Rhinolophus ferrumequinum: one gene and its partner. The protein of the gene in region 2 interacts with the protein of the main gene of each other region in a pairwise test. Links are inferred from orthologs where the notes say so. Each region holds a gene or a part of one and is shown on either strand. Other genes may lie near its edges.

The links. The genes of interacting proteins can lie anywhere in the genome.
Region 1: the proteins of TRAF3IP1 (region 2) and PCNT interact in a two-hybrid assay, tested with the Homo sapiens proteins (2 studies listed by BioGRID and IntAct). The link is inferred for Rhinolophus ferrumequinum from reciprocal best matches to the Homo sapiens genes TRAF3IP1 and PCNT.

Annotation. Positions count from the first base shown.
Region 1 is NC_046285.1:109,018,328-109,022,071, reverse strand, and holds the start of PCNT (pericentrin), read right to left. Parts: upstream 2,690-3,744; 5' UTR 2,662-2,689; coding exon of another isoform or gene 2,612-2,661; 5' UTR 2,550-2,611; coding exon 2,315-2,549; intron 642-2,314; coding exon 586-641; intron 1-585. Other genes in the region: pericentrin, read right to left, coding at 2,612-2,661, 2,824-2,992. UniProt on the Homo sapiens protein: Integral component of the filamentous matrix of the centrosome involved in the initial establishment of organized microtubule arrays in both mitosis and meiosis. Plays a role, together with DISC1, in the microtubule network formation.
Region 2 is NC_046291.1:2,182,252-2,185,995, reverse strand, and holds the start of TRAF3IP1 (TRAF3-interacting protein 1), read left to right. Parts: upstream 1-1,578; 5' UTR 1,579-1,682; coding exon 1,683-1,805; intron 1,806-3,744.

The DNA of each region.
Region 1 (3,744 bases), on a different chromosome or scaffold from region 2:
AACGGCCCCTCCACAAACAGCCCTGAGAATGGGACAGTCCAGGAGGATCAGAAGTCCCAGTGAAAGACTTCCCCAGGGAAGAACTGATTGTATTATACGCGAAACACAGCTCTTTCCCCCAAAAGGGGGTGTGGGTGAGAGCAGCAGGACAGTGGCAGGCCATGCGGTGTGGTCAGCACTGTGAATGGGGCCAACCACGGCCCTCACAGGCGTGGACCCTGCGGCCAGGCGGTCCCCCCAGGCACACCTCTCCCTCTGAGGTCCCCAGGCGCCCCAACACCCTCCCCACACGTCTCGCTCAGTCCACACCCTGCGTGAGCACAGCAAGGGCCACTGAGAAAAGCAGACTTGGGAGCAAGGGCCTCGTATGACACAACAAGCCATTTGCCAATTTTAAACTGCACAAGAAGAACACTTCACCTCTGAATTTTGACAACGCAACACTTTTCTACAGCACATCGCCAAAGCTGCCTGGCTTCTGCCTGAGCCAACATAGGGGCTTTGGTGTAGGGCTCCAGGGTGGCGGGATAGGGAGAAAGGGAAGAGCACTGCGTACGCAGAACGACATTTTCTGATCATACACACCTCTGTTATCTGGGCATTTTTCTCCGTTTCTGATTGTAACTTCTCCTTCAGCTCAGCTGCAAGAAAAACAGTCACTCAGATCACCGCGTCTCAGACTTTTCCACAATCTCCTCCCCCAGGAGATGAGAGGGTTCCCAACGCCCACTGCCACTCAACAAAAGCACCCGCCAGCATCAATGGGACAACAGGACACACCTGTGAGGGAGCAAGAGCATGACGATGTCTGCTTTAATTAACAAACTGTATTCCTGGCCAAACCAAGGCCAGCGGGCCTCCCAGCCAGCATGACAGGCCAGTGAGCTCGGGGGCTGCACAGGTCACTGAGGACGCTGAGGCCGCCTCTTCCTGGTGGGACCCCAGCCTGTCCGCTTCACATGGGGCCAGGTTCCAGATGAGGAGTCGGAGCACAAGTAAGCCAAGGCAGGGAGAGATGTTCTAGGGTGCAACAACCCCCAGCCCCCAGGGAGGCCGCACAAGGGCAGAGGCCCAGGGGTTGTGGGTGGAGGAGCAGGACGCTGCTGGCCTGGGGTGCAGGCGGCAGATGTGGCCTGAGAGGGGGGTGTACACCTGGCAATCAGGGTGCCAGGCGGACATGGCTGGAGCCTCAGGAAAGGCCAGGGTGGAGCTGGGGAGAGGTGGCACCAGGCGGCAGCTGGTGCCACGCATGCAGTGAGGGCAGCCTGAGCAAGTCCCGACTTAAGGCCAAGGGCCACTTGCCACCCTCTGAGGACAAACCCCACCCCGGCCGAGCCTCACGGAGCAGAGGGCAGGTGTGGGCCTCGTGGACTCATTCTCAGGTGTACCTGGAGGAGACAGCATCGGAAGGGGCCTGAGGCACACCATGTTTTGTATTTTAAAAAATAAACAAAATCAGGGGTGTAAAACGACATTATTTCCGTTTGTTTGAACCCACATGAGGACACATGGGACGGCACGAGGACCTGAGATGTGCTCTCCAGTGGGGGTGGGCCCACAGGTAAGGAGCAGGGCTTCTCACACTGCCAGAGCCCGCCTGGGGCCCTCACAGCTCAAAGGAGAACCCCAGCAGGTAGATAAGCAGGTACTCGTGCCAGCAGAAAAGCGGGGGGCTGCTAACGGGCACAGGCTGCCTTTCGGGGTGATGAGCGCTCTGAACTAGACAATGTGATGTCAGCACAAGTCTGTGACACACAGAAGGCCACTCAAGTGTGCACTGTAAACAGGTGTACCACTGCTTGGTGACGCTAGGCTTTAGAAACCCAGTGTTTACAAAAATTAGTGAGCACTTTAACAAAAAATGTACCAGACACGTTAAAATGAAAACATGAAATACATCTTAGACGTACAGAGCTTGGGGTTGGCCAGAGAATCAGGGGACAGGAGTGCCGTGGGGTGCAGGGTAAGGAGCCTGTGAGACGTGGGGTTGTGTCCATGAGCATCCAGGTAGGCCAGACACGGTCCCACCAAAGGTGCAGAGACAGAAACCTGCAGCACGAGAGCAAACTACCTCCAACAACATCATTTCAAAGTTAACACAAACCCACTGGACAAATGGATGAAAGGCGAGGGGACAGCAGAGAAGGATAAGGACATGCGGAGCCTGCCAGCCAGGAGGCCCAGGGGCCAGTGCCCAGAGCAGGCGCCCCGTGGAACGCACCACGCAGCTTCGGGTGGGAACGCCTCGCCCGGGGCACCTCTGCAGGCCACCTGCTCCCCCATGTGTTTCCAACGGCGGCCAGCAGGCATGTACCTGTCTCCTGGTGGTAGCGCCGTGCCAGCTCCTCCAGCTGCAGCTGCTGCCTGCTGTGCAGCAGGGCCAGCTCCTGGGCGTGCCGGCCGTTGAGCATGTCCCGCAGCTCGGTCAGCGCGCTGTCCTTCTCCCGCTGCAGATGCGCCTGTGCCAGCTCCAGCCGTGCCACGTGCATGTTGCTCAGGCTCAGGCGCAGCGCCTCCAGCTCCAGGGCGGCCGCTGGCTGTGGGGACATGGCGAGCTGAGGCGGCTTCCCGTCCCACAGCACGGACACATATGGAGTGGGATGAGCAGCGGCTAGGGAACAGGCTGGCCGTGCAGGGAGGGTCCCTGGCACCTGGCCTGAACTGTGGTCAACAGGTGTCCACAATGTCCCTCCCTCTCAAAGTCCCAACACGAGACATGAAAACAAAACCAAGCAGGAAAGCAGACACAGCCAGCCTGCCCTGCACACCCGTCCACTCTGTGACAAACCTCTCCCACCTGCCACCCCCAGATCCCAAACCCACGGGCCCAGGTAAGAATCGTGAGCACCCGGGTCACCTGGGCTGGCAGCTGCCCCTGCTGCTCCTCTGCTGTAGGCGGACGCCCCCCCATTGTCCACCACTGCCCACCAGCCTCGTCCTCAGCTTGGCCCATCGACTCAGCACCTGCAGACGCACAGGCCCGTTCACACTCCTAAGGAAGGAAGGCAAGACACGTGACCCAGAGAATTCAGCCCCTGAACATAATGACCACATGTCCTCCCAGAGGTGCGTCCATGAGTGTTCACTCAGCACTACTCCCAGTCGCCAAAGGTGGGAGAAACCCAAGTGTCCGCCGGCGGGTGAGCAGAAAGCAAGAGGGGTGCCCGCACACAATGGGGTGTCATGACCTTCTGACCCACTACAACACCGAAGAACTGCAAAACACACTCAGTGAGAGAAGCCAGACACACTGACAGCTCCATCTGCATGAACCGTCCGGAACAGGTGAGTCCACAGACAGAACGCAGACTGGTGGCCGCCAGAATTTAGTGACTGCCAATGCAGACAGTTTCCTTTCGGAATGATGCACACAAACGTCTTAGATTTAGCGGTAACGGATGCACAAACTCTTGACTGTCCTAAAGCCACTTAAGTGTACAGTGAGAAGTGCTGCATTCTGTTCTGTGAATTATGTCCCAATAAAACAACTACAGAAGAATATGAGGCCTGTTTGAGGGGCTCAGTGTCAAGTCGGAAGCCAGACGCAGGCCAGCTGAGCCTGTCTGCCCTCCAGTCACTGCAACAGAATATAGGACACTGGGACTGATTGCAAGCCAACCCCTGCCCCCGCACACTCTGGGTATGAGGCCACCACACACAGCGGGCTCTGTCACTCCCGGGGAAGGTCAGGGCAAGACAGCTGTGCTCAGGGCGTGGAAGATGACCTTCTCTCCTCACTGTCCA
Region 2 (3,744 bases):
ACACAATCCAGCAATCCCACTCCTAGGTATTCATTCAAGAGAAATAAAAACTTATGTTCACACACAGACTGGTATGTAAATGGCCTTAGTAGTGTTATTCATAAATAACAAAAAATGGAAAGCAACCCAAATGTCCATCAACTGGTGAATAAATAAACAAAGTGTTCTATGCAATATTACTCAGCCATAAAAAGGAATGACATTAATATATGTAGCAACATGGACGAATCTCAAAAACATAAGAGAAACAAGTAAACACAAGACTACGTACTGTACAACTTCATTTATATGGAACTCTAGAAAAGGCAGAATTATAATAACAGAAACCAGATTCGCGGTTGCTTGGGTTGGGATAGGGGAAAGAGATGGACTGCAAGTGAGCGTTTTAGGGCGCAGGAATCTTCTGTCTTGATTGTGGTGGTGGTAACATAATTGTATATAATTACCAAAATGCACCAGCCTGCACACTTAAAATGGGTGAATTTTATTGTAGGTCAATAATAATTAAGTATAAATTTTAAGTAAAAAAACTCCACACCTAGATACATCATGGGTAGGCTTACGCAAACCAACAGTGAAAAGAAAAGTCTTCAAGGCAGCCAGATACACAACAGACAGAACAAAAATAACTACAGCTGTCTTCCCTTTAGAAACTCTGTAATCCAGAAGGGAATGGAGTAAAATCTTTAAAGTACCGAATGAAAGAAAACGACCAGAATTCTATAGTTGTTGACACGATCTTTCAAATGTGAAGGTGCAATATAGACTTTCAGACAAACAAAAGGTGAGGGCATTCATTGCCAGCTGACCTGTGCTAAAAGATTCAATAAAGGACGGTCTTCAGACAGGAGCCTGACACCAGATGGAAATTTCGATCTACACTAGCAATGAAGAGCATTGAAAATGGTGGGGGGGAGAAAAAGTAAATAGAAGCTATAAAGGTATGCATTAGAAGAACTAGGAACAGACCACACGCTTCCAGATTGCTAGAAGGCTTTCTGCAGTGCACCTGTGCGGGGTGGATGGAACACAGGTGGGACGGAAGCACAGACAACCTGGCACAACGAGCGCTGGCGCCACCGTTTGGCTCTCACCTCCCTGGGAGTTAGGGAGGCTGGCACACGCTGACCCTACTTTACAGGAACAGAAACGGTATCTCAGAGAAGACGAGTTCCTGCTGTACTTCACCAGGAAGCCGCATTAAGTAACAGGATTGGGCGTTTTCTATTCCGTGTTGTTTGAGTTAACTTGGTCCCCTTGGAATCTGTGAAACAGGCAGCACAAGTCTTGGAAGTGGCGTCGCTGTGAACCAGCCCTGGCGGTCCCCTCTAACACGCGGCGAGCACCTTCCTGCTCCCCGAGGCCGTTGGGAGGGTCCAGGGAGAGGACGCCACCAGCCCACTCGCAGCGAGGCAGTGGGCAGGGCAGACCCCCGCCCAGCGTGCGCGCGCAGCAGGCGGGCAGGGGGCGGAGCGCCGCGGCGCGTCCGTTGCTAAGGCCGCGCCGCCCTGGCGACCGAGCGCTCGCGGCCCCGCGCACGCGCCCTGACCGACTCCGGTGCACTGTGGGATGGAAACCCGAACGGCGCGTCTGGGCAGGAGCAGGCGGCGGCGGCGGGGCCGGAGCGGCGGGAGAGCGGGGCTTGGACTCGGCGGGCCGGCGGGAGCGCGGGCGGCGCCGCCATGAACGCGGCGGTGGTGAAGCGGACGCAGGAGGCTCTGGGGAAGGTGATTCGGAGGCCGCCGCTGACGGAGAAGCTGCTGAGCAAGCCCCCGTTCCGCTACCTGCACGACATCATCACGGAGGTGGGTGCGGCTCCCGGGTCGGGGCTCGGGTGCGGGGAGCGGGTCGGGACCGAGGGCGCGGGCGGGGTCAGGGTCGGGGCCGGAGTGAGGGCCAGGGGTCAGGGCCCAGGTGGGAGTCGGGGCCCAGGTGCGGGTCGCGGATGAGGGTTGTGGTGCGAGCCGGTATCAGGGCCCAGATGGGGGTCCCGGCCCTGGTGCGGGTCGAGGTCGGGGCCCAGGTGTGGGCTGGGGCCCGAATCAGGGCTAGCGTCAAGGTCGGGCCTCACGTAGCTGTGCGCAGCTCCTGCCCGGGAGCCTGCCTGGCCTGCGGCCCAAGGGGTGACCGTGGGCCCAAGTCGGTGATGCCTCTGCGAGGTGTTCATCACCCTCACCCCTGCTCTTCCTTCTCATCCATCCCTGCACCTCCTTTTCTGGGGAGTCTCCCGGCCCCTCTCAGGGAGCATTATATCTTTCCAGCCTACCTGTGTATCTGTTAGAGCACATACTCTGTTCTGCCTGCCAGAGCTGTTTTGTGGTTCTTTTCCTTCAGTGCCTAGCACGCCCCCTCCCCTCCAGGTTTTCCTCCGCAGGGCTCTGCACACTGGTCACCACATATTGGATGTTTAATGGACACCTGTGGTTGTAGGGGAACCGGAAAGGGAAACTATAGAAGAGCAGGTTAGTATCTGCTGATAAACGGCACAGCCTGCCTTCAGTTGAGATTGGTTGTTGACTTTTCCCCAGTGGAAGGTGAATTCCTCAATGACGGGGACCGTAACTGTTTTGTTGGCATGTCCCGGGTGGCACTGGGTACGGTACACAGAAGGGGCACAACAAACAGTCACTGTTGAGTGGAATCTGTCAAGGCTTCTGGCTCAGGGAGGCGGTGCCGGTTCCTATGGTGCATCTCAGGTGGGTATTGAACTTGGAAACTAGGGTGTACTCCTTGGGAGTTAGGAATCAGGCTGAGCTTGGAGACTGCCGGGGCTCCTGATCTCTCTCCACGGTGGTCCTCGAGCTTCATTTCTCACTCTTTCCAATAGGCTGGACACTTTACTCTTCCACAAACTTTGCTTTACTCATTTCTGTGATCTTAACTTAGTTTCTAATGTGTGCCTCTGTGTTAAAAACCCCAATTGTGCTGAAAACTTTCTGGAATCCCACCCACATCCCAAGGGCTGTCTGGCCTGGCCTCTTCCTCCTGCAGCTAGTCCCCAGCACTTCCAGCTGCTCTGGACAGTGTCTGCGGAAGGGACGTGGCTGTGTGGGGAGCCCAGTGGGTGCTGGGCCGCGTGCTGCGTCACCTCTGCCCTGTGCGGTAGGCAGGTAGCGTGCTCTAACCCAGGAGGGAACAGGTAGTCACCAGGACATGGGCCTGGCTGAGCACAGCGGCTGCCGCCACGGCCTCATGCTCTCATCTTCTGTGTTGGTCCTGTGAGCCCACTGAAAAGCGAGTCAGGAAGGGAGTGGGGGGACATGCCTCATCCTGTGGGACTTGGTGTGCTCTGGGCAGACATATTCGAATGCATTTTCAGATAATAGGTGGAGAGCCTTGTATGAAAATTCTTTACTGCCCCGGAGGGTTGTATTCAAGCCACCATCTTAGTATTTTAGCTACAGCTAAACCAACTTTGCCTCTTTCATGAATCAAAGCACTGGTCTTGTGACATCAGTATCTCTTGTCACTTAAAATTATTGCTGACAGTTTTAACTGCCAACGAACTGGGAAAACCTTGAAAGAAACAAGGGAAAAGTTGCCAGGAATATAAAGTGTAGGCTACTCTTAATATTCCACCTGTCTTCTCAGGAAAAATAGTAGCATAGCTCTTAATTAATTAAAAATAGTAGCCCAGCTCTTAGGTAGTTTGATGAGGAATGAAAGCTAGCTCAGTTCATAGCTTGCTGTAGCTTCGTCTCAGAGAAGCCTGCTATTAGCATGCGACTGTCCTCGTTTTTAAAC